4 linked regions of the Drosophila melanogaster genome follow. The protein of the gene in region 4 purifies or fractionates together with the protein of the main gene of each other region. This does not show direct contact. Each region holds a gene or a part of one and is shown on either strand. Other genes may lie near its edges.

Evidence for each region.
Region 1: the proteins of CG3795 (region 4) and CG11703 purify together in Drosophila melanogaster (affinity purification with mass spectrometry, with the first as the bait; one large-scale study listed by BioGRID). This does not show direct contact.
Region 2: the proteins of CG3795 (region 4) and CG7675 purify together in Drosophila melanogaster (affinity purification with mass spectrometry, with the first as the bait; one large-scale study listed by BioGRID). This does not show direct contact.
Region 3: the proteins of CG3795 (region 4) and CG15717 purify together in Drosophila melanogaster (affinity purification with mass spectrometry, with the first as the bait; one large-scale study listed by BioGRID). This does not show direct contact.

The regions. Positions count from the first base shown.
Region 1 is NT_033777.3:19,225,418-19,231,481, reverse strand, and holds CG11703 (uncharacterized protein), read left to right. Parts: upstream 1-3,301; 5' UTR 3,302-3,374; coding exon 3,375-4,436; 3' UTR 4,437-4,579; downstream 4,580-6,064. Other genes in the region: unc79 (uncoordinated 79), read left to right, coding at 1-621; Polr2M (RNA polymerase II subunit M), read right to left, coding at 755-997, 1,054-1,771, 1,839-1,984; CG5250 (uncharacterized protein), read left to right, coding at 2,255-3,190; vib (vibrator), read left to right, coding at 5,451-5,467.
Region 2 is NT_033777.3:18,375,782-18,383,663, reverse strand, and holds CG7675 (uncharacterized protein), read left to right. Parts: upstream 1-2,485; 5' UTR 2,486-2,632; intron 2,633-2,927; exon of another isoform or gene 2,928-3,045; intron 3,046-3,309; 5' UTR 3,310-3,310; coding exon 3,311-3,451; intron 3,452-4,299; coding exon 4,300-4,438; intron 4,439-4,696; coding exon 4,697-5,427; 3' UTR 5,428-5,540; downstream 5,541-7,882. Other genes in the region: CG14309 (uncharacterized protein), read left to right, coding at 1-1,715.
Region 3 is NC_004354.4:13,125,483-13,135,897, reverse strand, and holds CG15717 (uncharacterized protein), read right to left. Parts: upstream 6,881-10,415; 5' UTR 6,797-6,880; coding exon 6,710-6,796; intron 6,593-6,709; coding exon 5,921-6,592; 3' UTR 5,862-5,920; exon of another isoform or gene 5,608-5,861; intron 4,906-5,607; exon of another isoform or gene 4,720-4,905; 3' UTR 4,102-4,719; coding exon of another isoform or gene 3,927-4,101; intron 2,967-3,926; coding exon of another isoform or gene 1,462-2,966; 3' UTR 1,333-1,461; downstream 1-1,332. Other genes in the region: MFS10 (major facilitator superfamily transporter 10), read right to left, coding at 1,462-2,966, 3,927-4,101; CG32638 (uncharacterized protein), read left to right, coding at 7,600-7,647, 9,684-9,830.
Region 4 is NC_004354.4:1,706,970-1,713,272, reverse strand, and holds CG3795 (uncharacterized protein), read left to right. Parts: upstream 1-3,090; 5' UTR 3,091-3,136; coding exon 3,137-3,432; intron 3,433-3,497; coding exon 3,498-3,768; intron 3,769-3,833; coding exon 3,834-4,184; 3' UTR 4,185-4,467; downstream 4,468-6,303.

The sequences.
Region 1 (6,064 bases), on a different chromosome or scaffold from region 4:
CCGGTGCCGCAGGAAGCCTCCTGCCACATCGCCGATCACATTCAGGTGATCTTTGCCGGATTTGCGGAGCAGTCCAAGACCTCCGTGCTGCACATGTCCTCGCTATTCCATGCATTCACTCTATGTCAACTGTGGACGGTGTACTTGGAGCAGATGGCCCACAATACCAATAGCAATGCGGAGGGCAGCACGTTAGGCGTTCTTTTTGAGTTCTGGGCAAAGGTGACGCCCTGCATCTTGCAATTGGTGTCCCACGCCAAGCCGACAGTCAATAAGGATCAGCCGCAGACCCCCCTGGACTTTCAGACGCAGAGTGCTAACTCCAAGCTGTCCGAGATGGTCAATCTGCACTTCCTTAGTCTGTTGGAGGCGTTGAAGGACACCAATTCCACAGTGCTGGGCAAACTGCTACCCATGTGGAGCCCCGTACTCTCGTCACAGACGCAACTCTCGGACACTTTGCACGTCCGGTTGCAAAACGTAAGAGACTATGCACCGGACTACGAGGAGCAGCAAACGTACAAGTCGGAGGCTCTGCTCAAATGGCTGCAGCGCTTGCAGTTCAAGATGGGCCAGATCGAGTTGCAAGCCTCCACAGCCACGCAGTTCTATTCAATCTAAGTATTCACAGAGTATACACAGTATAGTTATGTATGCAGTCTTATTTGGTAATTGTTGCCTACGCGAATAAATAGTACACAATGTTTCTTGGAAATCGAATAGCATAGATTCTATCTCATGCTCTGCCCATAGGTTACTCGAACACCGTGTAATGAATGCCACTGGCGGACGATCCTCTGTCTTGAACAGTAGGATCTTGCACTTCATTCGCTTCGCTGGCTTTTTGCCTGCCCTCGATGAGAAAAGTGTCTTGGGGATCACGGTAGTTGCGGAAGGATTCCTTGGTTTTCACAATCGATTCCTCGGGCAGGCCAAGTCGGAGTCGAGAGTCTTTAAGCCTGGCCAGCCGCTGTTCAGCCTGCTGAATGCGAACCTCCTACAAATAAAGTGTATTTAGCATCGAATTATGTAGACCATAAGCAATGAAATTACCTTTACTCTTTGCATGTAATCAATCTGTAACGCAGCCGACTCAGCCAATGGCACCAACTGGGCCTCTTTGTGCTGGATGAGTGGCGGAGTTGCTGCCGTTATTTCCCAATGCTTGCCCTTTTTGCGCACGCGCTCCTTGTCGGGATTGTGGACATTGGACTTGGTGGTTCGGAATGGCATAAACTTTTCCCTAGGAGTATTCACATTTGTTTCCGTCTTATCGATGAGGTAGAGGGCATGCTGATCGGGAGGCAGCTCCCTGCTCAGCTTTGCGGCCACTTGACTGGCGTCGATTTCTACGATCTCGGCAGGAAGGGAACTGGTGTCACTATGTCCTGCCAAGGCGGAATCTGGGGAGTCGGTTGGTTTCTTAAACTCCTCGATATCCGCCAGATCATCTGCCGTAATGAAACTCGTTGGCGGAGGCAAAACCTTGACCTTCTTCTCGTGCATTGTTCCCTGCGCTATAATCCGCAGCGGATCCATCTCCACCTCATCATCGCTGTCCAGAATGTCGTCCACATGGGCGCCCTCGTCCGTGTTTCTGCCATTCCACTCCAGATTGTTGAGAGCAATTTTGCCCTTTTCGACAATGTTGAGACCGCTCAACATTCGAGTCGCTTCCTCTACTTCATCCCGCCTCCTGATCTCGGCCAGTAATTTGTCGTACGACTCCTGCAGACGCTTTCCCTTGTCCGGCAGTTGGTGCAAACGCTTTCTAAATAGAGATAAAATTAAATAAGATAAATTCACAGGGAACTCCACAGGTGGAAACTAAAACTCACTTGAACGACAGAAAGTGAGACTGCCTGTCCTTAATCTCCAGCAGCTGCGGATAGGTAAGGGTCTTCAGGTCCTTGCTGTGCTTCTCCTTCGCCTGGCTGGTGCCCGGGATACGGCTAAGCGGAGCAGGAATCACATTATCGCCCATTTTGGCTCACTTATTTTGCTCATAAGCTTAGTATGACCGTGCTGTGGTTGCGATAAAATACTTAGTGCTGCTACGAAGCAAAGGGCTACAGGAGTTCACTTAACGCCTATCGTTATCGACAAAAAGGCGCGTTATTCAAAAATATACATTAGTGCTTCTGATTTCTGTGCGGAATACATTCCTATATTTCTAATCCACCCCAAGCTAGCTTTCTGAAATCCCTCATATATTTCCATAAGATATAATTAAGTACCCATATATTATTATTCCATGCCTAACGACGCGATAATCTATTCTGGTCCCTACGAATTGGGACGCCTTCGCCGGCGTCGTGATATGCGTGTGGCGGAGTACCTCTACAGGCGTTCCATTCGCACACGCAATGCGGATCCCGAGATGACCGTGTGCCGTTTTATCAAACTGCTGCTCTACTTCATCGGATTCTTTTTCGTTTTGGGCGTATTCACAACCGGATTGGCCCTCGTGATGATTGCGAATCATATATATCCGGATAGGCCGGGATGCAAAAAGTTCCCCGGACTAGCAACCGCACCCGGACACCATGTCGGTGATCAGAAGCAAATTATGTGGAGCCCTAATAACATTAAGGATGTGGCTAACATACAACGCGCGATAATGCGAACGGTGAAACGATACGGTCTCGAAGGCCCGAAGCGCCTGATGGGCTGTAACATAGACGACAGTTGGGGCTATATGTCCGGCACGCCGTGCATTCTAATAAAGATCACCCAGGCATTGGGCTTCCAGGCGGTAACCTACGATGACGCCCTAACGCTGCCCGAGTACGCTCCGGATGAGCTATTCGACTATGTGGTGGGCCTGGGCTCGGAGGAGCGCTTCAACCGCATCTGGGTGTCCTGCCAGGTTATTGAGCCAAGAGTGGACATTCAGTTCGACTACCATCCGGTTCGCTTCTTCGATGCCGAAGAGCTCTTCACCTCCGGCAATGTCTTTCTCAACGAGTCTTCGGACGACGACGGACCTACTTACAAGGAGGATCCCCGCCTCAGGCGCATCATCAGTGTTCGGTTGAGCAACATTCCGATCAACGAGGACATCCAAATCCACTGCAAGGCGTGGGCTAAGAACATACCGCTCCATATGGTAACGGTCAAGATGCTGGTGCGTCTGACGGCACCAGTTCATCCAACCACTCCATTGGTGCTGGACGAGTGGTACGAGTGAGATCAGCTAACTCAGCTGGATTTATTAATGTATTAATAAATACTTAACAAAATAATAAAACTATTTGAGAATTATAGTTTACTCCGCTTTAGATTTCATAGTGAACCGAAGCTACAAGCTTCGAATATTTCCCACTTACGCCCACGTAACCAGTAGCCAAATCAGAACCGGAACGATCGCCACGATGCCGGAGGACGTAATGGTGCCCGCTGGGGACTACAAGCTGGTCAAGCAGATACGCCGGAACCAGGAGACACGTCGCAAGAAGGACCTGCCGTGGTCGAAGAGGATATTCGACATAGACGAGCACAAATTGTTCGGACGCACAGCTCTGGGTTGGATGCGTATCACTGGCTTCTACCTGGTACTATACGCCCTAATCGTGTGCATTGTGGCCTTTTGGTTGGGCATCTTTATGCTGGCCATCATTGATCCGAATAAGCCGCGCTGGCTCAAGGGTCCGCCGGGTCTGTCGATGGTGCCCAACCAGAATCGATCCGTGCTGGCCTACTTTACGCACATCATGAGTGAGGTCAATCCGATTGCGGACCGCATCGACGATTTCCTGAACAAATTGAACGACAATGCCATTGACTTCTTCGCCGATTTCAACCAGGACACTACGTGGGGCTACGCCACCGAAAAGCCGACCGTCTTCATCAAGCTGAACAAGGTTATTGGCTATGTGCCGGAGACCTACGACACGCCAGATGACTTGCCCAAGGAGGCGCCAGCGAGCCTTCAGGACACCGTGGGCAAGCTGGGCAACACGCCCAAGATTTGGATCACCTGCGAGGTGACCAATGGGCCCAAGCCCGAAATGGTCTTCTATCCGGGTCCATATTTCGAGGCCTCCGAGAACATGAGAGGAGTGACGCGCGTGGTGGCCATCCAGATGAACAAGATGCCCGAGAATGCGAAGACCTTCTTCAGCTGCAAGGTGTGGGCCCGAAACATACCCATCGACGATGACTACCAGGGCATGGGAATTATCAAGTTCGCGCTGAGCATGCGCACCGATGATGACGGCAATCCGGATTTCGAAAGGCCCTCCACTCGTAAGGCACCCCGCGAAATAGATCTCGAATCCGAAGAGCTCGTTCCCGAACCGCCATCTCCAAATCGACCAGAAAGTATGCTCGGAGGATTAGAATTGCCGCCACCGCCAGAGGATGAGAAGGACGCACTAGACGCAATGGGAAATGATGCCAAGAAGGAGGAAATGACGGAGCCACCAAGCTTATAAGAATTGGAATCTATTACTACTATTATTACCATTTGGAATTCTAGACAAAATTTGCTTATGTGCAAATTACCTATCTGTGTAGGTGTTCTTTAGGTTATTTAATTTCGAATAAGAATTGGGGGTAACCCACATTTTCACATTTCAAAAACCTATTAAATCTTGTTTCTGTTCTTGTTTTTCATATAATCAAATGATAAATGATAACTGATGATCTTTGATCTTATAGATTTATATATAATTTTATTATAACTATATTATATTCATTAACTTTTTATAATAATTTTAACAGCATGAGTCACCCTAACAAGCTGCGCACACCTAGATAACCCGCTTGTGCTATCGATAGTCGGCGACGGGCAGCGCCCACCACCAAGTGTGACCAAGGGGCATCGCCGAAATCGATAGCATCCGCCTATCGGAATCGAAGTGTTTTGCACGAACATCGAACTTTAGCTCCGCTCCGGACACGCAGTAGCTAAATAACAAACTCATTACTAGTATATTACTGCCGCCGATTTGCAAACGCGTACCGATCCCGATACCAGGCCAATCGCACTCCCCAGTTGTACGTCATCACTTAAGTAATAAATCAGCGGCAAATCGCATAAATTGCTATTGATATTCCGCCCGCTGTGTGTGCGTGTGTATTTGCAAGAGAGTGTGTGTGTGCATATGACTCGTGCGTTTAGCCGACAATTGGAGAAAAAGCATTAGAATCCCAATTGGCTAACTAAACTAAAGTTGGCTTGGCCAAACATAAACAAAAAGTGCGGGCGCAGCGATTTGGCAGCGAAACAAAAACACCAAAGTGTTATTGGCAGATATATATGTAAATTAAATATAGAAAGTGCGTGCGAAGGTTAAGCGTAGAGTGCAAGTGCATTTATATTTGGAAATAATAAATGCTACAATTTAGTTGAAATCCGCCAGCGAATTCGCATTAAATCTAATTCTGTATTTTGTACTCTCTCGCAGCGAATCAAGCAGGAAAATACCGGATAATAATTGGCAAAGATGCAGATCAAAGAATTGTGAGTACAAAACTGTATGTTTTTACCATTTACCTGTGATTATTTGATGTTTAAATCGCAAAAAAAAATCTGGGCAAGCCGCAAATTATTTGTGACAAATCGATTTTACACTCTCTTCGTGACATTCGCTCTCTCCATTTCTCTCTGGTCGCGTGTGTTGCTGCTCTCTCAGTTCTCTCAGTAGTTGCTTTTGTTGTATTTAAGTTTGCGGGCATTTTCCGCAACAACAACAGAACCGTTTTCTTATCAGCCCCCTGACGCCCCCTTTTCCGCACACCCCCTCTCTTTCCATCTCGCTCTATCTCAGGTATTTTGCAGCTGTGGCGATGACGTAATGAGTTTAAGTCACATTTTGGAGCTACGTAAGCCAAAACTTACTTCTTATAACCAATGCCACTGCTAATTAGTTTTGGAAACTCCTTTGAATCATCGATAATCTATACTATATACGTAAAGATAATGCTTTTTAGGCGCTCGGCGACGCCACGTTGTCGACTTTTTCAGTGAGTCACTCTCTTTTGCGCCTCTCTTTTCCCATTACTCTCTTTTCGGCTTTGGGCCCTGCGATTTTAATCAAACAAGTTGTTAAGTGCGATA
Region 2 (7,882 bases), on a different chromosome or scaffold from region 4:
TTGATCCAACAAAGCCACTGCAACTGATCACGCCCAGCATGGCGGTGAGTTTCTGGGTGCTGCCCGATGTCAATCTGGAACACTGCCAGTTCACGGAGATCGAGGCAGGCGATTCGAGTGGGGAGTCCTCCAAGGAGAAGCGCCGATCATTCCGCTATAGTTCCGCCGATCGGTTACTCCAACGATTGATCGAGGAAACTGCAGTTGCCCGAGGCTCGGTTCAGAGTTCTATTAATCGCAATCGGAGATTTGTCGTTGATAAGGAGGAAACGTCACAGACCCTACTAGATCGACTACTGGACCATTTCAAGGATGACGGTCCGCTGAAGAGGGATGTGGGTGATGAAGTGAACAAGTCCAAAGAACAGGCTATTAAGCCTCATAAAGCTCTGGCCTGGCTGTATCAAGTGCTCGAGCACACCCGTGACATGGGCAAAAAGCGGGAGAGACGCGACACATCCAGCTATTCCGGGCCCTTCTTCTACAATCGCCAGGGTAAGAAGACAGCATTGACGAAGAAGATTACTGAGATCCGGAAGCCGGAAAAGAAGAATAAGCCCCTTTTCGACTTCGATGAATTCGATGAGGAGAAGTTCTTCAAGCGCATTGGAGAGAAATCCGAGGAAATACCCACTTACACACGGCTTCCAGAGGGTGATGTCCACCTGAAGCACATTGAGACTGTGGATGGGGAGGTGGAAAACGAAGAGGAACTTGAGCGGGAGGTACCCAAAAAGCGCAGGACCAAGTCCAAGAGTCAGCTAAAGATCATTCAAAGGGAGGACAAAGAGGATGAACAGGAGCAGGAACCGGAGCAAACAGAAGGGCGTCCCAAGTTGCGTCTACTGCCCACGGAATTCTTTGAGGCCCTACCAGCTCCCAAGCAGAACAAGCGATTAAATCTGGGAGCCACCTTGAACTCACTGCTATTTCCGGAACCCTTCTCCAGCAAGGCCACCATGGCCAAGGCTAGTCTGTCCCAAAAACCCAAGTCTGTTGAAGAGTCCGAGCCCGAGGAGGATGTGCAACCGGTGCCAAGTGCTAGAAGGCGTCACTCCAGGCTAGGTCACGTGGCCAACGACTTTTTGCAGGCCCAAAAAGAGCTTGGAAAGCATTTCCTCAGCCACATCAACGAGCATGAACACGAGTTTTCTCTAGGAGATGAGGGCATGCGGGAAAGTTCCCTGGAGTCGGCGAATGTCGGTAGGAAGTCCCTCATACAGGATCATTTTGAGGGAAAGAAGGCAACGCCTACTCTTCATTCGAAATTGCCTCAAAAGCCAGCCGATGAGGGTATCACTTCCTGGTGGGATTTACCAGCTATGAGAAGGCGGCGTGCCGTACTTAACACTAATTCCCTGGCTGAACTGCCCTCCAATGCCATAGACAAGGCAGATCGCGATGAGATGATGCCGCTGGGAAGGTACACCTACTACGAGTACAAGATGGATCACGAGGCAGAGAAGGATGCCAGCCAGCCCAGGGAGGAAAAGGAATCCAAGATCATGAGGATCAGCAGCAAGAATTCGCTGGCCTCTGGTCGTAGTCTGACTAAACTCTCCGAAAGCCTCGTGAGCACTATGAAATCAAAGGTATCTCGCTTCATCAACATCATATCCAACCATATGAACGAATGGTACAACACCTTAACCAAGCACTTGGAAACGGATGCGGAAACCCAACCACCCCGCCGACAAAACAGCATTGAGAAGTAGAATGACTTATATTACCATATGACCTTGTTTAAACTGCCAGCATTATAACCGAATGTAAATATATATTTATTTTCAAACATTACTGCATTCAAAGGAATTATATTTGAGCGATAATTCTAAGGGAATTATATTTTTCAAATAAAGCTATATACAGGACTAAGGCAACGAACTAGACGGGCTTAGACTAAGCTTGTGGTAGATTGTTGAGCATTCTTTATTGTACTTGTGAATATGTCATCTCTATAATAAAATGCATTGAATTGAAAAGAATGTTGATATATTTCAGTGGTATCTCGGTTAATGATATATGAAATGAAAAATAAAATAGATTTTTATCTGACATGTTTATACAATTACCCGTAGTACTTCAAATAGTAATAAAGTCTTGGTCATTAAAAAAGTTAATTACTATCCATTATTATTTTCTACATTATTTCAAGCTCATCATTCGAGCTGCATAACTAGAAAAGAAGCTTTGCGAAGCCCCCGACAGGTGGCTTTCTAGACACACTTTCTTGGAATCCACTACCCAGATCTTTCTCTTACCGCTGGTAACTATGTATTATAGTTTGGCTCCACTCTGTGCTCGCTCTTTCGCTGCGAGTGAACCGTTCATGAAGACGATCCCAAAGAGGAGCCCGGAAAGCCGCTTGGCTAACCTGTTACCATGGCTATAAGTGCAATAACAAAATCACCGCGACCACGGCAATACCAAACCGGTGGAGACGATCGCGCATTCTCCGCAGCCTCGGCTTTATAATCGGAATTCCGACTTCAGTCTCCGATTAGTCGTTCAAGGCGAAGGTTGTGGCACTAGCTCTTGGATCCACCAATTCCATTTCGCAGCGCAGATATAGTCCAAAGTGCAGGTCAGCAGAAGTTGGAATAAATTATAGATCAGCCAACAGCCAAAACAGGTGAGTTTGCACTAAAAAACTCGTCTCCGACTGGCAAAAGTTGAGGAACAAAACCCAAAAACGGGTCACTTCTAGACTTTTTCATACATCTATAGATCTTGTTTCTTTTCGAGACTGCATTGTAGGGCGTGGTTCGGTTGGGGGGGTTCTTAAATGGTGCATGCAAGCGTAACCAGAGCCAGTCTTCGAGTCTTGAGGAAAGCTCTTGGAAATCTTTGTGACGTGGACGGTGGGGGAAAAAAAAAACAAACAGAGAAGAAAAAACCAGAAACTCAAAACGACATGAAACTTCAGACTTTCTTTCTTGTTCAACCTTCTTTCGTTTGGGCTGTCAATGAACTTGGTTGAATGTTATTTTTTTCGGCGTTTCATCATAATAAGCCATAATTACGCACATGTGTGAAAGTGAAAGTGTAAGTTTTCTCAACAGTTTTCGAAATTGATTTATTGACAGTCACTGATAAACGATTTGAATTGTGAAAACCTTCGCCGACTAACCAATATCCCCAAAACCATGAAACCCCAAAACCCAAAACCAAACTCGTTTCGTTATGCCCTAAGACAATCGTCTGGCTTTGGCAGCTTCGGTTATTATATAATCTGATTTGCATGTTGACACCGATATATACGTATATGAAGATACAATATATAGTATACACACCTCGGCATATTTGTAGGATGGGTTTCATCTTCGGTTGGCTGTCGACCGAGCACTATGTGCGCGACATCTTCCTCATGACTTCAGTGGCCGCCATAGTGGCCACCCTGATGAGCATTCGGTTCTATCTGCGCATCACGGCGGGACGATGTTTCACCGAGGTAACGAACGCACCTCACCCAATCCAAAAAACCAAGTCCCATGCTCCCCAGAATCGCGACACGACTCGAATATTTCGCACTTTATATGGCTGTTGCTCCCACTTCCGCTGCGAATTCTTTTCAGATCTTGTAGATGAGCTGTCATATACATACAAATGATGGTGGGATAGTTTACTAAAACAGTATTCGGACACGACCTTAAGCTTATTAATCGCTCAAAACTTTTACAAATTTTATATATTCATATAAATGCGAACTATTCAGATAAACATTACAGATCCATAATTGAAAATGGTTCAGCTTACCGCTCTATAGAAAACTACATATATCACTATCTGGAAAAACCCCATATAATTAAAACGATTCTGTAGCATTCCAAGCATTCCGACTATGGAAATCTTTTAACTATATATGAAATCACCACTAGGAAAACTTAACGTGTTTCAATCTTGTTATTACATTGGTCAGTTGTGACGCGTCGACTTAATTACAGATTAAATTAGATACCTTCTGAGAGGCGAGGTACGTCACATCTCTGAGCTACGATTACCACCTGACCGAACATTGTTCGTATCCCACAAAACATCTAAGCTTCTGGGTATCTCGGTTACAATCTGTGAGATCGCTTACCTCTGATTCACAGAAAGCTCTCAGCACTCGAATGGCAATTAAGCGACCCGTTAATGGGTCTGAAAACTAAGATAGCTTCCGTTCCAGACGAACTGCGATTACTGTGACTGTGAACAAGCGCCAACTAATTAGTATTGTAAACATATTTTCGAACCGCCCTCGTCCAATTTTCGATTGCAGCGCCGTATTAAATGATTAACCTTCGACATTGATTACAGACAAAGATGGAGGGCAAGACAGTCATTATCACAGGCGCCAACAGCGGAATTGGCAAGGAGACGGCCAAGGATCTGGCTGGACGTGGAGCCCGCATCATCATGGCCTGCAGGAACCTGGAGACTGCCAATGCAGTGAAGGGTAAGTGGACCAAGACAATGCCTATGAGGTTATGCCAAGGATCTGGCAGGACATGCAACACGGTCAAATTCCGATAACTGGTCTCATCCAGTTGATTATAGACTCTGGCAAAAACTGCTTACTACCAATGATCTTTTTTTATTAAATATTTACGTTGTAATTACTTTAAAGAAAGTATCTTATAATATGTTGGCGTTGCATTAACCATGTTTTTTTTTACATAACCGAATTTTGTAATTTATTGTTGATTTCCCACAGATGAGATCGTCAAGGAGACGAAGAACAACAAGATCCTAGTCAAGAAACTGGATCTGGGCTCCCAGAAGTCCGTCCGTGAGTTCGCCGCTGACATTGTGAAGACCGAGCCCAAGATCGATGTGCTTATCCACAATGCCGGCATGGCTCTGGCCTTCCGCGGACAGACGAGTGAGGATGGCGTGGAGCTGACCATGGCCACCAATCACTATGGACCCTTCCTGCTGACGCATCTGCTCATCGATGTACTAAAGAAGAGCGCGCCGGCTCGCATAGTCATCGTAGCCTCGGAGCTGTACCGCCTGTCGTCGGTTAACCTGGCCAAGCTCAATCCCATCGGCACTTTCCCGGCTGCCTACTTATACTATGTGTCCAAGTTTGCGAACATCTACTTTGCCCGGGAGCTGGCCAAGCGGCTGGAGGGCACCAAGGTTACAGTGAATTTCCTGCATCCCGGCATGATCGACTCGGGCATTTGGCGTAACGTTCCCTTCCCCCTCAACTTGCCCATGATGGCCATCACCAAGGGATTCTTCAAGACCACCAAGGCCGGCGCCCAGACCACTATCTATTTGGCCACATCCAATGAGGTGGCCAATGTGTCTGGAAAGTACTTCATGGACTGCAAGGAGGCCACCCTTAATGCTGCTGCCCTCGATGAGGAGAAGGGTCTCAAGATCTGGGAGGAGTCCGTGAAGATTGTCAAGCTTACGCCCCAGGATCCCAAAATCTAGACGGGTGTCTGCGGCTGAGAGCCAACGCACAATTTACTGATTTACTTTTCTTGTTTTTAAGGGGGAGTTTACTGTAGCCTAAGTTTTCTCAATAAAAATGATTTTGTATAATTAAATGTGGCTCGTTTTCAATATGATATATTTGCTGTCAGAAAAAAAAGCACATCAAATTTCTGACTATATATAATATATTACAAAGATCTTGGTTGTTATATCGGTTGCTCGTGAGTAAAAGGGTATACTAGAATCAAGACTAGAATATAGTCTGGATCAAGATCAATAGCCGAGTCGATCTGGCCATGTTCCTCTGTCCGTCTGAATGTCGAGATCTCAGGAACTTTAAAAGCTAGAAGGTTGTGATGCAGCATACAGATTCTAGATACATAGACACAGCGCATTCACACTAACTGAGCAACGGGTATCTGTTAGTCGGGGAACTCGACTTCTTATTGGCACAGGATTTCGGCTTGGATTTGCAAGGGGACCGTTTTTGTATTACATGTAATATATATTGACAGTCACTCGATAAATCTTTTGCTAGGTAACTAGATATGACAATTCTGACAAGTTTTGAACTTTTCAACTTATTGCTTCTCGTTATTTATTTTGTAGCTGCAGCTTCTTAGTCAAATGATCTTTAAAAAAGTTCTTCTAGGTATTGAGATATGTTAAAAAAAAAATATAAACCAATTTGCTCTATAAGACATTTTACTAAAAGTAATGAGCGTCCATTCATCCCTCTCCTAATACACATATATTTCAGAAAGAATTATGCAACTACTGGTTACATTTTACCCGTTACTCGTAGAGTAAAATTGTAAAAATATGTAACATAAAGTTGATATATTCTAGATCAGGATCATCCGTATCCGAACGTCGAGATCTTAGTACCTCAATTTTTATTGGTCTTGTGAATTGCTTTCGTTTTGTCACGCCCATGATTACTTTTTTTCTTATTTAATATTAATTACAAATAAGCAAACCTGGTTCACCCTAAAAATTAACAGCCTCTGTAAGCTATAACAGGAGTTACTGTTAAAAGCTGATGTAATAATAATTTTATGTATGGTCTAGAAATTAACTGAATCCTGGAATAATTGTTTTAATTCAACTGATATCCATCCTGGATACTCCGTTTCAAATTAATTTCATGAGAATGCTCGAGAACGACAAATCACAGCGCCAATCGGGTGAGGCAAGGTAACCCGATACAAATGGAGAGGGGAGCAGAATCGGGGAAAGGCCGAAAAATTCTCACACAAAGTTTCGTTGGACTCGCTCACCTGTTGAGGAGGACCAAGGGGGTGGATGGCGGGAGGACTCCCGGGGGACTCCGTCGACATGTATAATCTGATAAAATTGCAGTCGCATCCTTTGCGGGCTGTCACCACGCCTGTTTCTGCAGAAACGGAGGGTTGCGGTTGTTCGCTTTTGCGTAGATTGCTATCAGCTCCTCGACGGCACGTGACTTGCCCAATGATGATGATAGTGCCGATCGGTGGCTAATAATATGTTAAATGGCGTAATTGAAATTTAATATTTATCCAAAGGATTACAGGATAATCATTTGCGGCTCACCAAAATGGCATTAAAGATAGCGAAGCGTGCGGCACCGCAGATAATTGAAGGACCAAACGCCCCTTAATTCGCTACTGTGAGAAACCAATAGATCATCGATCGGAACTTTTCACAGGATTTGTTTGCGGAGGTGATGCCCCAATAAAAAACAAACAAAGAGTGCGTTTTTACTGCTGCATTGGTTTGTATCTGTCACCCAGAATAGCAACTTTATTGATAAGATACGAGTATACCGGTAATGAACCCTTCTGGTACCGAAACCCCCTTTTGTTTTTGTTTTTCAGAAAGTATCGCCTTACAAATTCAATTTGGCGCGCTTCACTCAAGTGTACTCATATCCAGAAGGACGAAAAGACATTGTTGTGGCCAAGTTCAGTTTGTAATTCAAGTAGTTGTCTCCTTTTCTTGGGGGAGTCCTTCGACCGTACTTGTATCTACTTCTCCCCCTGGGTTTTTAATAAGTCGCGGGCATTTAATAAGCTGGCTTAGGTTTTTAATAAGAAGTGGGTTATGCGACAGTCCCGATCCCGATGCCGAATCGTCCAGCTGTCAGGACAGCGGTTCGTCCTTCCCCATCCTGTCCAGCAAATGTCAACTGGCAACGGCTGCGCCTGTCACGCGGTCATCGATACTCTCCTCGGGAGCGGGGGCGTCGGTTGTCGGCCCAATTGCACTCACAGATGTCTCATGCACTCCAGTTCCAAAACTCTACAGTTCCTACTAAGTCATATCATAGAAACCATACAGTCCACGCCAGTTGTCTATATCACTGGGGAAGTGTTATTTACAAGTTAAAGGATCCTCTCAGTAAACCTAGTAAATAAAAAAATTGATAAGAAATTAGGAAGAGTGTTTTCACATCCTATATTGAAGAAGA
Region 3 (10,415 bases), about 11 Mb from region 4:
TATTACTATTCCTAAATCACATTCAAGTTTGGTTCGATCAAAAACGCTGACTTTTTGTCGCAGTGTATGGAGGAGAGAGGTTCGCTGTTGTAACAGAGGCGCCAAAATATTTTCACTTAAATTTGGCGGCTATGTTTTTATGGCCCCTGCGAAGTTCACGGGGGAACTCAGATCGCTGAGCGGGGGGAGGAAAAAGCGGAAGGGGGCGGGAGGGGGCTATGGATTGTTATGCAATGGGGAGAAAATTGACAATAAGACAAAGCGCAAAATACAAACAAAACAGCGTGAGAGACTGCGACATAAAAACTGCAAAGTCACTTAACCATTATTAATGCCCCCATATTTTTAAGGGGAGGCAAGTAATTTTTTGGGGGGGGCAGGTGTGTATGGTGGCCAAGGGGGCGTGGCAGCCCAGCCAGAGACGCCTCACGTCAACGGACGGACAGATTTACGGACGGACAGGGGCCAAAACTATGCCACGATAATCACGACGAAACCGAAAACTGAAATCATAAACGAAAACTGAGGCTGCGACAAAATCTCGGATGCATATTGTTTAAATGAACTTATTTAGAAAATTAACATTTAACATTGTAACATTTAAACCTACGAAAAGTTACTAAAAGAACCAAAGACAGAGCTTTATCGAAGGTATTCTATTCGTATTTCTAAATCATAATATAAGAAACCTTTAAAATTAAGATTTAAAGCTGTAAAATGAAGAAGGTATTGTATTGCTTTAATCTTTCTTAATTATATATTATCGTTTCTACGCACAAACATTTTACTACCAAAGTATTACTCACTATTTTGAGATACTTTTTATACACCCCATTTATGTTTTAGGCATAATTTGACATGAACACTTCGCCCCTGAAATTATGCAACATTTTTACAGCCTTCAAAAACATGAAAAGCCTAAAAGTGTTTTAAAAATCCAAGACTCTAGTAGCTGCATAAAATAAATAACCCATCAAATCATAATTCTCCAATGAAGAGGTATTACTTAGTCGGATACACGAAAACCACCTGCCAGTTAAAGAATAAAATGCTTAAATCAGGTGCCACAGTTCGATATGTTTGTGCTGTTTATTTCGACAGATCTACGTGCCTTCGAGCGTGTATATGATAGATATATAAATATATATGTATATATATATATAGTTGGTATTGGTATAATTGTTTACAAAAAAAAGACGCCTAGCAAAACAAAAGTCCATATAAAAGGACGATACACGTATATAATACACTAAAACAGTTAACATCCTTTCGATTTTCCATTCCGATTTGGTAGCACTAGTTTCGTTCGTTTCGTTTTTTTTTTTTCTTTTTGGAAGCCACATTCTTGTCCTGCATCCGGAAAACTTCGAGCCCAAATACATATGTAGGATATATGTGTATATATCGGAATTATCACAAATGCTTATGATCTAGCTAAAATAGCGTATAGTTAGGCTTGCTTCAAGCGCGCTGGGATCGTGAGTTGCGTGTGGGTGGTGTCTTCGACCAGCTTTGCTCCTCGGCGCTGGCGAAGATCAGGTAGATGAAGTTACCGGCTATATTCAAGCCCGCCGCCAGCCAGAAGACCAGATGCCACTGTGTCAGAGTCTCGCGATGATTGATGATTAGACCGATGACATACGGAGCCAGGAAGCCACAGATATTTGCCGCCGAATTGGTGATGCCATACATGGTGCCTGCATATCGTGGACTGAGCGCTATGTGATTCATCTGGTTGCCAGCATAGACGGCGCCGCCGAAAGAGCCCACGCCGGCCAACATAAAGGTGACCCACACCCAATCGCAGCCCACATAGATGATGCCAATCAGGCCCAGTGATGGCACCACGGAGGCCACCGTGTTCCACAACTTATACGAGTTCAGCAGCGATATGTAGCGTCTGGCTAGCATCCAATCCGCCAGGGCGGAGCAGGCAATGCCCACGAACCAGGAGGTTAGATACGGCACCGCATTGAGCAGAGCATTCGACTGGATGTCAAAGTGTAGGATGTTGCTCATGTAGGTGGGCAGCTCGGTTAGCTGCGTGTAGAAGGCCCATCCCTGGCCGCATTGCGTCAACAAGATGGCCCACAGAGGTACGGATGTGAGCAGCGATGACCAGGGTATCGGTTCCTCCGGCGGCGCCCGCAGACTCACTTCATCCTGTCCCTCCTCTTCCTCGGCCTCCGCTAGATCCTGATTTATTAGCCTCTGAACCTGTAGACTCCTTTCGATATACTCTCGCTCCGATTCTGAGATCCTGGGATGATCGCTAGGCTTGTCGTACACCAAATACATCCATGCGATGAACCACAGAATGCCCAACAGTCCGAAGATGTAGAAAGCCGACGGCCAGCCACCCAGGAAGTCCAGCGAGCACAGCCATCCGGCCAGCGGCATGGAAATGACTGTTCCGATATTGGAGCCCGCATAGACGATTGCGGCGAACTTGTTCCTCTCCAGCGGCGGTATCCAGTGGGCAAGCATGGCGTGCATAGCTGGATAGGTGACGCCCTCGCCCATTCCCTCCAGGATGCGGACCAGGACCAACAGCGGCAGATCCCAGTGGGCAGCCAATGGAGTTATAAGCGTAAAGACCGCCGTGATCAACACTCCATAGCCGTAGATCTTCTTCCCACCATACAGCTCGGCCATCCGTCCGCCGGGCACTTGGGTTAGCACATAGCCATAGAAGAAACTGCCGAGCACCAATCCCTGCGTGGCCTCGTCCCACACAAACTCGCCCTCCTTCTGCGGATTGGGATCGCTACCATTGTGATGTGGTGCCGGTAGTGGACACGTGTCCGTATCAATCACCGATGAGTTGCTGTGCGGAATTGCCGTTTGGTTCACCATGGCCACAATGGCCACCGACAGATTGACCCGCATCGCGTAGACCACGGCGAATCCCAGGAAGCCCATGAATCCGAAAATGTGACGCGTCTTTGGGCCACAGCCATGGTTTTCTGCAGGGTGGAGAGAGGAGAGAGTGGATGGTTAGTAAGCTATGGTTTAGGAGGCGTAATAACGATATCAGTTCCGGTTTTACTTAAAAGTTCTCGCCGTTCTCGATAAGGCCCAATGTTACACTGAAAATCCCTAAATACCATTCAATGTGTTATCATTGCATAGTTTAAATTGCCTCAATTTCTTCACTTTTTTATTCCTTTAGAAATGTTTACATGAGATGCCATTGCCAGTGAATTTAATTTCTTTTCAGATACTTGTTCATAGGAATCGCTCAAGTATAAAATCTAAAATAAAAATATTACGATCTGATACCATCGAAAAAGTTATCGGCCCTCCGTTCCATTTGAAATGCAGATTTGTACTGTTCTATAAAGTTCAGAAAAACTTCGCTTCATATCAGTAAATGTAAACAAGTCGTAATTTCGGCCCTTGGCGAATAAATTATACATAGGCATAGGCTGTTAACTGGATAACTGGATAGTATTACGTGAAAATTAAAATTTATGCGTAATTATTAGGTTATTTTATATTATATGTATGTTATGTTATATGTATAAAAACATTTTAATTATTTTTATTAGTTATTGAAATCTATAAGCCATATAATATCTTACTTTAAGATTAAATGAGAATTATTATAAATTGAAAGATACAATTTTAGAGTGTCTTGGATATACGTAAAATGAAATTTGTTTACAACAAAAAGTATCTTTGCGTTGAGTACTGTTTTTTTTTACACAGATATTCCGAGAGTTTATGTTTAATAAAAGTACTGACCCAGGACATATGTATGTACAATACATAAATGCAAATCAATATGAAGCAGAAATAGCACTAAAGATTTAAATAAATAAAGGTATCTTGAGCTTGTAATACGCATATCTACGTTGCTCCACCTACATATGCTATAGCTAGGTAAATATCTTTCCCCATCTGTGTATCTTGTAGCTACTCACCCTCCGCAGCGCCGCTGGAGCGGATTAGCGGTCGTTCGCCGGAGCAAAACGCCTCCCGTTCGTCGTCCGCTTCGTCGTCGGAGCGCTCCGCCGAGGCGGATGAATTGGAGGAGGTGGATGGATCGTAGTAACAGGAGGCGTCCCGCGACTCGTCCGTCCATTTGTGCGGTGGCATCGTGGCGCTCTATTTGGTTTCGTGGATTCCGATTGGAGATGTTGGTGCTTGGCGGTCTGTGCTTTTCGAGCGTCTTTTGAGCGTTTGGAACTGCAACTGCCAACGCATTTTCTCTGCCGGAGCGGCAGCTGTAGTGTAGTTATTGTATTTGTATCGCCAGCGGTGGCGGAAGCGGTTTGCTTGTCCACCAAAATCAAGAGCCGTGTGAGCGGGAGCGGGAACGGGAGCGGCAACGCGAGCGGACACCTCACCACGCCAGCGGGAACCAGCGCAGACTGACGGACTGGCAAATGGCAACGGGCAACGGACAGCGCAACAACAAACCTAAGCAAAAGGCAGCGCCAGCAAACGTAGCTTCTAACCACAAGAGGGGTAACAGTGGCGTAGTTGTGGGGTGGCGAGCCAAAATCACAGAGGGGATTCCTCGAGTGAGAAGAGTAAATACTTTCTGGCGATAGAATGATGGCGTAGTTCTTTGGGAATTTCAGTCATTGTTTAGTTGCCCCTTTTGCTGCGCCACTGCGTTTGGAGTCACCACAGCTCGCTCCCTCTCTAATGGCTGGCTCTGTGGCGTTCTCGCTCTCTCCCGTGTGAAAGTGGAGCATGAATGGTGCGGCGCTACGTCACAGAAGGGGATGCAAGAACGAAAGAGAGTGGGTGAGAGAGAGAGCATTAGAGAGGGCCAAAGAGAAAGGGGGTGATGTGCGAGAAGAGAAGAGAGTGCAGTGTGAATTGTATTGTTGTGAACTAACTTAAGTATACTATCTTTGTTTAGTTACAGTTAGTTTACACACACACACAAACTATAAACGGCGATATGGTATATTTGCCAGCACTGAAAAATTACTATTTGTAAGAAAATAAAAACAATAAAACAAAACTAATTTCCAGATAGTCGAAATCAAAAAGGGAATTTGTACTAAAATCTTGAGAATAAAAACAACGAGGAGAGAAAGGCAAAGTATACTTTAGTTGCCAACACAAATACACGCACACTCAAACAACTCAGGCTAACACAATAGCTACGTTTAAGTAGCCAAGCTCTTTTAATGTATGTAAGTCAATTCAAGCAGGCTCTAGTTAGAGAACAAAAGAAATGAGCAAAAACCTAAATTCCACACATAGTATGTACATTTCTACATCTGGAAATTTTTCCATATTTGTTGTCCGTTTACAATGAAATAGATAAGATAAAGGGTTAAGTTGATCGATCGCTGCGTAGCTCGCACAAAACAAAATGTTCTTTTAAAAATTTTCATTGAAATCATTACCAGTTTATCAGTTAAATGGTTCATTTACTTCATAGTATGTTAAGTTTACTAAAATGAGCGCTATTATTTTGGCCCCAAGTGTATGAGTGTGCCCTTCAACTGCTTCCATTTAAACTGCTTTGCAGGATTTCTATTTCTGGAGCAGCACTTGCGCATGTCCTGAAAAAATGCCTGTTGCATGCAGAGATTCGTGGACCTACCCCAAATTCCCACAGATGCATAAAAGTTGGCTGATGATTTTTCAGTGGACAATTATTGACAGAGTATCAAAAAAACAATTCAGACTCAAGGACCTTTTCGCAATACAATTGGAATATTATGATGGTTGCAAAATCAGATAATTTCTAAGTTAAGCCACATTAAATGCTAGTTGTTTGACATAACTCCTAATTTAGTTCGATATAATTCCAATTGAACTGTCGAAAAGGATGCCCCAAGCTACATGTAAAATGCTTAGAGAGGTATTTTAAAGTATGGCTTAAAAAGCACCTGGATGTAATTCCTTCCGGATGTGATTCGTCGCCGTCGAAGTCCAGAACTGTCACTCTTCAGTTGCCGAAGATGGTGCCCACGGGAAAGACGACGATCCTCCGTTTGCCGCTCACCACCAGCGATTCATAGTGATAGTTCTTGGCCAGCAGAACATCGTTGCGGTCGGCAGCAAAGGATTCCCAGATGGGATCCAAGTCCGGATTGAAGCAATTAATGGCCACAATATCGCTCGGTAGTCGTGGTATCAGTTCGTAGGCGCAGCCCAGCTTCTCATTCCACAGACTAACTTGGCCGTAAGGTAGGGGATCCCTTTTGGCCAACTGGCCGGCCTCCTTGGCTGTGCGGAATGTGTGCACCGTCACCACTCCCGTCGCTCCATTGCCCAGATAGCTGTGCACGCAGTCGTACACCAAGACGGGTGATTCCCCAGCCTTAAGGCTTTCGCCTTGTACTGTCTTGGCCTTCAGCTCTTCGATCTTGGCCAGCGTGCTGGTGTAGCTCGGATGCTTGGACACCTCCTGCGACAACGGACGCAAATCCTGCGCCACTAGGCCCACAAACTGATCGGCAATGCTCTCCTGGAGTAGCAACGTGGCCACCGATCCCTCGGCAAAGGGATTCTGCAGGGACTGGAGCAACTGGTGGCGCGCTGAGTGCAGATCACCGTCCTCGAAGACGACCATCAGCTGGGGGGAGCGCCACTGGGGTGCACTGGGAATCAGCGCCAACTGCAAGTAGATACATTTTTGAATTTAACATATGTATGTAGGTGCTCCGATAATCTCACTGAGACACAATCCGTGTGCCAAGGAGATCAAGGTTATGTCCGATATTGTCTGACTGACCTTCGTTTCCTGCGCCGTCGGCTGCAGCTGGTTGACCATGTAGCTGGTGATCCTGGACGGCTGGGACTGGGTGAAGTTGCTGGCCATGCTCTGCGAATTGAAAACTTGAATTCAATGGAATCGCCCGATCAGCTGCGTTATCAGCGGCTCACGCAAACATACACACACGCACATAAACAGACACACACGCACACACACATTCACATGCAGAGAAGGAAGATCGCTGATAAACTAAAATACCAGTTATTGGTATTATTCAGTATTTAACACGGCCTGTCGCATTTTATAGCTACGGTCACACCGAAATAATAACTGGCATGTATAAGCGGAACAGCGACCGGTCACATTGGCCCACACATCACAATTTTAATTTAAATTGCAATTGGTCGTGTTGCTGCGCTGACGCCTTCCAGCGTATAAAAGAAAATAACACTTTTGCCCCCGGCTAGCTAATAGTTGTTGACATCACTCGTTATTCGCCGTTCATTGTTGACGCCCCCGTGCAAAGGCAGCAACAACAACAGCGATTGCCAAATATTGCAGCAGCAACAACAAGAACATTTGGAGAACGAAAGAAGACCAACAAGTGCGCGCACACACACACACACGCACAGACGCACACAGATACACTCATACAGTGAAGCTATTGCGCTTTTAGCACCAATTGAAAGTGAATTGCAAGTGAAAATAGACGCAAAGTGGAACGATTTCAGCAAATTGTTGCACACGAAAATAACAAAACAGCTGTGCGACTCATTTTTTTTTGTGTTTTATTGTTGTTGTTGTCTGCGCCGCGTGTGGCAGCAGCAGGAGTGGGAGTGAGAGAGCGGTAGCCGCTGCAATAACTGCATTTGAGTGCGAGCGAGAAGGAGCAGGAGAGCGACATCATCATGACCGACCTCAACGAGCTGATGGGATCCCCTTTTGTGCGTGTGAAGGTAAGCAAGCAGTGCATGCGATGCGGGAGACGAGATGCCGCTATTGCACTGCACTGGCCAGCAAGCAGTGCACTGCACTCACCCCCCTCATCTTATCCAACAAACAATTGCAGCCATAAAAATAGCAATGGGCGACTAGGAAAACTCATAACTCATGACAAAAAAAAAAAAACAAAGAAACAGATAAAAATTCTGAATAAATGAAAAAGTCTCATTTAAATTAGGGGAAAGAATAAACAGGGTAAATAGATAACATATGGTACAGCTGCGGTCAAAATATTAACAGCAGGGCGGTTCAACTGGCTGGGTGGCACACATAAACAGAAGAAACAGATAAAGAATTTTACGGAAGCGGTCAAAAAATTAAACTGGGCGTATGAAACATACGTGTTTGTTTTTTAAGGAATAAAAGCCATGAAAAGTAGATAAAAACTTTTTTTGGAAATTTACTTACATGTGTTTGGATGCTTATTTTGCATTCAAAGTGGATATAGCTACATATACATACATATATCGGCAAATATAAATTACTTGTTGTAGAACGAAAATAAGTAAATTAATGCCATCGTTATATGTATAAGTAAAAAATACACATAAATGACATTGTATGTACAGCTGGACTAATGCAACTTGTGTGGGCGAAATAAAACTGCTTGAGCGAAATTTACAGCTTACGGGAAAACCTTATAAACTAATTACATCGTTTCACTAAAAACATTTTCCAATTGTGCAGTTTTCTGTCCAAGAATAAATATTGTTATTTCTATCATAATACAATCCGTTTTTTTTACCATAACATTATAAATAATGGTCCAAATATAAAATGAGATGCCTCGTTGTGTTCGTTATTAAATACCAAATCGAACTGTATTCAAAAATTTCCTTAATTCTTCGATGAAAATGATAGGGAACGTTAGCCTTGGTAATTTGCTGCTCAAAACAGTTATTTTTTCATCTATATAACAATTTTTAGCGTATTTATGACAAAAATTCCATTTGTAAATATTACGTTTTTGGCAAAAGCTGTTTTTCCGAATTTATGTGATCAAAAAATCCGTTTTTTTGCCACAACTTTCAAATTAATTGCCTGAATATGAAATGTCATACCTCAATGAGCTCGTAATTAAATTTCCAATTAAACTGTGTCCAAATATAAGAATTCTATTTTTTCGCCATTTTTTGCAAATTTTGATGATGTTACCCCTTACAAAAAAATGCGAAAATTGACCCAAAAATTAATTTTTCTAAATCCTTCAAAAAATGATTGGCGTCGTTAGTATTGGTAAATAGCTGCTCAAAAAGGTAATTCTTTTATCTATATGACAAATTTTAGAGAAGTTATGACGAAAAGTTCCGTTTGTAAAATCACTTTTTTGGCAAAACCCGTTTTTTTCGAATTTCGGTCAATAAATAATCCGTTTTTTTTACCACAACTTTTAAAATAATTGTCTGAATATGGAATGTTATACCTCGTTGAGCTCGTAATTTAATTTCCAATCCAACTTTGTTCAAAAATAAGGATTCTATTTTTTCGCGATTTTTTTGCAAATTTTGATGATGTTACCCCTTACAAAAAATGCAAAAAATTGACCCAAAAATTAATTTCCCTAAATCCTTCAAAAAGTGATGGGAATCGTTAGCAATGATAAATAGCTGCTCAAAACAGTTTAATTTGTACAAATTGCACAATTTTTGGCCAAGTTATCTTAAAAAAACTGAAAAGATACCTATTGCGGTTAACGCTGCTGTACGACTCTCACTTGTTGGGCCTCCATGGGTTAATGGCCAGTCGCTGTGTGATTAGCACCCCAAGTAGTTAACCGCAAATGACAACCGATACGATGCTAGTAACTACAATTGGCAACTTCGCCGCCAGATTCGTGGGGCTTCACTTGGCACTAAACCGCTTATGATTATGCTTATGTGTTAACCAGATATGACCATATAACCATATATAACCAAATGTAGTTTGTAGTAGTTCTCCCTTTGCATTTTCTCATTTTCCCCTTTGCTTCTACATTACATATATCTTACAGCTTGTGGCCTTTGTGCACTTCTTCTTCATCTCGAATGCCATGCTTGGCAGTTGGGGCCACGGGGCGTATGAATTCTACAACTTTCTATTCCTGATCGCCATGTTCTGGTCGATGCACAGCAAGGACTCCGTCGAAGCGATTCAAACGGTGAGTGCGATCGATTGATAAGTGCCAGATTTGATATTCCCAATTGAGAAGACTCTTCAATTAATTCGTTTAATTTGCTCGCCATACCCTGCAAATGAGGGTATCACAACTGTGACAAGCAATCTATTAAAATTGGTTTACAAAGTATAGCTAAGACTTCTTAAAGAACGCTTACAAAAAGTGATATATAATTCATAGCATAGTTTACATATATAGTTTACTTAAGTAGCAGTGCGATTGCATTCGTAGTCACGCCTTTAGTTACGTATAGCTTTCCATTCATCGCTTTCTGTGAGTCATTAAAGTATTGTTGATAGGATTGTTATACAGATAAGTATGTTTATAGTGCAGTGTGTTCACTGCGTTCATCCAATTAATTCAATATAGACGAATAGCATTTCCCTTTGGAGTCCACTGCTGACTGAGGCTTTAATCAACTGCTAGACGACTCACAGCGATATCACCACGGAATTTGTTAAATCGTTCAAAACCGGTTGTTCAAAAAAAAAAAATCGCCAGTAGGCAATTAGCATACACATGCAAAATATAAATAACAAATGTTCTCACTAAAATAGTTCGACGAAC
Region 4 (6,303 bases):
GGGCTATCTCCAGTGTGTGGATTGTGGTTCTGGCCAAGTGGCAAGCGGCGCGTATCTATGACCGCTCTTAATAAGATAAGCCGCGATTGCCCGGCTACTAATGTAATTTGGCGGACAGAGACGAGACCAACTTTGAGTGCAGCCGACAGCGTTTCCAAATTCAATCAGCCGTGGAAAAATTCCGGAGTGCATCACAGGGGCAGGGATGGGATAGCTGGAGGGGGGATCGGGGGAAAAAATGTAATTAAGCAAGGAGCGCAGGAGAGCACGGCATGCCCCAAAGGTGGGACAATGTGCCTGCAGAGCAGAGCTGCAGGCACATCACAGCGGCCACAGAGAGCGGCCACAGAGATGGCCATGCGACTCTGGCCGAAGCGAAATGATGACAGGGATAATTAGGATTATGCTCATTACTCTGCTCCTTTCGAGCGGAAAAGTAATTTGCAGCAGCCAAGATGCCCGGGATGCCGGGATGCCCGGGATGCTCGGGATGGGCCTCCAAGTTGAGCTAATGGTCGAATCAAATGGAGAGATCGGATGGTTCCAGAACCACGGCATCCAGTACGACATCGCTGACCTTCAGCGCCTGACCCGAATGGAGTTCGAAATGAGAAATACTGAAATATCGAGTGCTGGGCCACAGCTCCTCCTCGCGTGACCCACAACTTTTATCATAAATTTGAGGGGCCACACAAGTTAAAGTGGGTTGCCGGGCTAATGTAAATATATCGCCCTCCTGGCCCACTGCCACCTACCTGATCATCACCATCATCATCATCATCATCGCACCAAGCCGAACCGAATCGGTTTTTAAATTCTCGCACATGAAGTCTTTAAGCCATCCGCAGTTCGATTTCCCAGCCCGGGGCTATATCACTGTGCAAAAGTTCCCCGCGGGTGGTATAATTTCAATTTCCATTTCCCATGCACCGCTCATCCACTCCACTCCACTCCACTCCGCTCCCCTCCGCTCCACTCCAGTTCCCCGACTCCCCGGTTCGCGGCGGCTTAAGCACTGTTTATGCCTGTTAAATGCGAATCAGACGAAGGTCAACCGGATATCAAGCCCACTTAGCTTCATCCGGCTGAGTCCCGAATCCTTGCACAAGGCTCGCTCTGGCTGAGGGCTTTTAGTTGACAGCTAACAGCTAACAGCCAAAGTCCTCAGTCCGGATTCCGGATTTTGGATTCCGGAGTCTGCAGTCTGTTGCTTGGACACTGTACACTGGATACTGGATACTGGATTTTGCATACTGGATACTGGATACTGAATACTGAAGTGGCGACAATTACCCCGGACTAACCCGGACTTGCAATGGCTGTCGGCCGTTGACAGGCGGAATCAAATGTGTCATCAAGTGGCTCTGCCCCGTGCTGCCTGCTGCTTTGTTGGTTTGCTGGTCCTGCTGCTCGGTCTGCCATATGAATAGTTAATGACTCGTACGCCAGACTCACACGAGGGTTGGCATGGACGGCGCTGGCCTTGTCCTTGCCGAAGCCACCGACACGGACGGGCCACGGACAATGGAGCATTGGCGGTGGGGCGGTAGAGTTGTGCGGTAAAGTCTTACACTGCAGTTTATGCAAAATTGCCGATAGCAATTTGCAAATTTAATGGCGTAAACAAATTCAATCAATGTATGCAAACAAATGCAGGGGGAAAGGGGTGTGTGGATGGCCAAGGGGATTACGATTACCATAGCACAGCGCTGGATGCAGTTGCTCCGCAACTTCACAGCTCCACGACCGAGTGCGTTTTAGTTAAAACTGCAAAAGGCAACAATAATCAATGCTCGGCATCGTCTGTGGCGATAAGTAATACGAAGAGCACACTCCTGCATGCCCGCCCATGTCCGTGCAAGTCTCCGCACGTCTCTGCATGTCTGTGCACGTCTGTGTGGCTTGTCTGGCGGTCTGCTATCTGAGGGCATTCAGGTGCCATAATTGTTTGGCCGGTGACAACTGCTCCCAGCTGCCTTCCCCCGACCATCACCACCCAACCGGGCTCCTGGGGAACTTGTGCAGCTGCTACTCCTGCTCCCTCCTCGTCTCGAAATCCGATTCAGATTTGCCGCCAACTGCTCATCGAATAAATTTCGGTGTTTTGCCATTTCTTGCTCACACACACACACGCACGCAGTGCACTTTGTCGGGGCTTTTAATTGCCGAGTAAAAATGTGGAGCCGACTCGAGTTCGCCTACATCCTCGAGCTCCAAGCTCCAAGCTCCACTCGCAGGCGCGAAGTGGGCAGTGGGAAGTGGTCTGAAGAAGTGGGTCGCAGGGTGAGAAATGGGCACCATTTTTTGTTCTGCCGCACAAATTTGTCTTTAGTAAGCGGGCGAAATGACAAGTCAACTTAAAAACTTGGCCAAGGCAGCCGGAAGTTAGCGCACACTGGGCCCAAACCCAAGTTGGATGGAAGGAAATTGGTTACTTAGCTTTAAATATGCCCAAGTGCTACGTGCTAGTGGCACGGCACCAGTGTGCTCGCTGCTCGGAGTTCTTAAGGTCGCCTGCTGCTCGACTGACTACTCGAACCATCCACCACAGAAGGGTTCCATGGTGAACTGGGTTGGGGGGTGGCCAAGGCTAAGCGGAGTAGGGGAGCGTCTTGTAAATTATTGCAAAAAGCAGGCTGCAAATTAATGATAACGACCCGGTCGACACCTTCACCCCAGGCCGCCGAGTGCCCGCCACACAGGACTCTCGGAGGGAGGCATCCCTAAGTGACATGAAACAACCAACTACTTAGTGTGCAGGGGAAAAACTCGACTTGCCTGCGAAAAGTACACATGTACATAAGCACATGGTCGTGGGGCTCCGTTTCGGCCGGGCTGACTTGACTCTAGCGACTGCAGTTCGCAGCCGGGATAAAGGAAAAAACGCTTCCTGTTGCTCCACACTCCCCACACTCCACACACTCCACACGCACACTTGTGATAGCCAGTTATTTATGAAGGAGACTTTTTCATCAGCTATCAGATGGCTGCCAAACGCTATCTTCCAGCGACAGTGCGTCCATTTCCCGGCCTCTGCTTCTGGCCCCCATTTCATCGAAAAATAATACTCCTATATGTACATATGTACACATGTAAGTCACTTTAGTGTCAGATTTCTATTGGAAAACGATTAGAAATGTGTCCGTCAAAATTTGTTGTCTACATACTGCTGATTTCCGTAAGCGCCAATTCGAACTCGGAATCACAGGCGGGCCAGCTGCATTCGGCGCCCAGTCAGAGGCAGGACCGACCATCGGACTTTCAGTTCCTGGTCACTGGTGGCTATCGACCGGATACCAACGACCTGGTCAAGTACACGGTTTCGCTGCGCATGGGCAAGCCGAAGAAGTTCTTCGGCGATAACCACTTTTGCGCGGGAACGATCTTCAGCGAGCGGGCCATTCTCACGGCGGCCCATTGCATGTTCAGCAAGTGAGTAGCGGCAGGTGCAGTGTGTGTGTTTATGGGGATCAGTGCTGATCAGTGGACTCCACCAGTCGGCGAAAGCTGAAGGCCAAGAAGTTGATGGTCGTTGCCGGGACGCCAAGGAGGCTGCTCAAGAGCAGTACAACACAGATTATTGAGGCCGAGGAGCTATTGCCGCATCCCAAGTACAAGAAGGGCAAGTCGCAGAAGTACGACATAGGATTGATTCTGTTGGAGGCGGATCTCAGTCTGGGTGATGCCGTTGCCAAAATACCTCTGTACAACAAGGTTCCGGTGGCCGGGGCCCCGTGCTCCATCGTCGGCTGGGGCACGGTCATTCAGGTGAGCATCGATTACCGAGTAACTTGTGGAACTTCGAGTCCTTAAGCTCCCATCCCCTTCCGCAGTTCGGACCACTGCCAGATGAGGCCATCAACGGCGATATGCAGATCCTGCCGGACACCTTCTGCGAGAAGCTGCTGGGCTGGTCCAACGCTGGCATGCTCTGCGCCAATGACAAGCACGACTCCGATGTGGACAGCTGCCAGGGCGACTCGGGCGGGCCCCTCATCTGTGACAACATGGTGACGGGCATCGTGTCCTTCGGAATGGGTTGCGGCGAGCCTGATTCGGCTGGGATCTACACCGATGTCTACCACTTCCGGGATTGGATCACCGAGAACTCCTGCCCCCTAGGCACACGGTCCGTGTGGACGCTGTTTCTGCTGCTGCTGCTCCTGCTCACTGGGATATCCTAGCGCCCGCCTGCTCCGCGATTCGTTCCACGGGCGGTGCTGGTCGGTTAGCCGGCTGGTACAACTAGTTAACCTGCCAGCCTGCAAACCTCCGAGCCTGCATACGACAAACCAAAATTGACTAAAACCAGCGGGCATGACCTGTCATCCATGGATGTGAATGTGGATGTGTATGGGAATGGGAATGGGAATGGGGATGCGGATGTGAAGGCAGGCAGCAAAGGCGATGGCCAAACGAGGCCATGGCGAATGGTGAATGGCGAATTGTGGTGCATGCCGCGCCATTACCCGCGCACACGTGCACACAAACGCACTTGCCGCTGGGTGGGCGCACGGTTTATGGTTAAGCAGATGCTGATGCAGATCCACATCCACTGTTTGTGACAGCAATTATCGCATCACCGCCGAGGACTCTTTCCCCCGCCCGGTAACCGGCCACAGGGCATACGCATCTGGCAGCGAAGACAATATGCAACAATTCGCGTTGGTTAGTTTGGGCACTCGCCAACTGTTGATTAGACCAATTAGGGGCAGCCAATTGTCTGCCAACGGGTTTGGGACTGCTCCTGATATCGTGTGGCCTTCTGGATGCCAGGTGACCATGGCCCATGTCCCAAGCCCGTGCACCGAACGAATCTCGGTTAGAAATCAGTGCGGAAGCATGTTGATTTAATATCAGCAATGCAATTAGTAATCGCACACGCACACTCCAATCACTGGCACAGAAAGTACGTGGGAAAAGCCAGGAGCCAGAAGCCAGAAGCTGGAGACGGTGGTGGAGTCCTCAGCCACACAAGTCACGAACGTGTCCCGTTCTCAGAGTAGCTAGGACCCGTTCAGGCTCGCCGCCAGACGACAAAACAATGCTGAATTGATGTGGGACTCCGAGGGACAAGCCCCAGCTGACTACACCATCTCGCCCAGAGGCCAGGCCAGACCAGACCAGACCAAACCAGACCAGACCAGACCATACCATACCATGCCATACAAGACCACACCAGAGACATGCTTACAGACATTCAGACATTCGCAATCAGGTTTGTCATTTCACAGTCGTATTGTGTGCCGTTCGAGTGTTCATAATGAATTTAATCGCGTATGTTTATTGCTCACTTTGCCACGGCTCTGCTCCACTCTGCTCCTGCGTCCTGCCCGGCCTGGGCCTCCGTTACCAGCCATTCCCATCTCCATCCCCATTCTCATACCCATACCCATCCTGCACAACAAGTTGTTGTTTTCTTGGCCTCGTGGCGGAGTCGACACTTTATCATTTTGTCACGCTTCTTGTTTGCCAAGTTGGCTCGTCAGCGCCCTCGTTCTTCTGCATATTGATTCAGCATTGTTGTGTCCCTTGCCCCACATGTCCACATGTTCCTGTCCTGTCCTGTCCTGTCCTGTATTGTCCCTGGAATGTCCTGGCCCGCTCTGCTGCTGCTGTTTTTGCGCCCCCGGCCGTAAATTGTTTGCATATATTAGACACATGCCTTAAATTGCATTTCAAGGGAAGTTCATTTGAGAATAATTGCAGTTAAACTTGACATCGTAGTTGTCTGATTGCGGAGCGCCATCCGTAGTGAATCCAGTGCGCAGAGGTGACCCCGAAGTGAGCTAAGAATGGGATGGGTGTCATCGAGTGGGCAGAAGAAGCTCCGGACTGAATAGTCTCGATCTTAACCACAATTTAGTTCATCTTGGCATTTCTTCCAAGCTCACCAGCCTGGTGGTTCAACTCCGACCCACCTGGACGCGGTGCACTGCCGGACGGAGTCCGAATCCGAATCCGAGTCGCACAAGCGGGTTAGTCACCGCGCAGAGGGACTCGCGCCTTCTGACAAATCGACGGCTAAGCTGCAACGCCAACACGTCGACCGCAGTCGATCCACCAGGACCACCATTACCAACGGGACCACCATTCAAGCAGCCAGGAGCAGGACACGCGTCCCAGACCCATCCCGGCCGAGCGGAGCCCACCGAAATCACTATCAATTTGCGTTTGTAAATACATTTTAATGGCATTGCAAAGTGAGGCTGAGCTGATCCCCGAAAACCGCCTGGCTAACCCAACCTCCCAGTCACTCATCATTCTCCCAAAGGCTTCGCCACGAGCAGCTCATCCCACTAC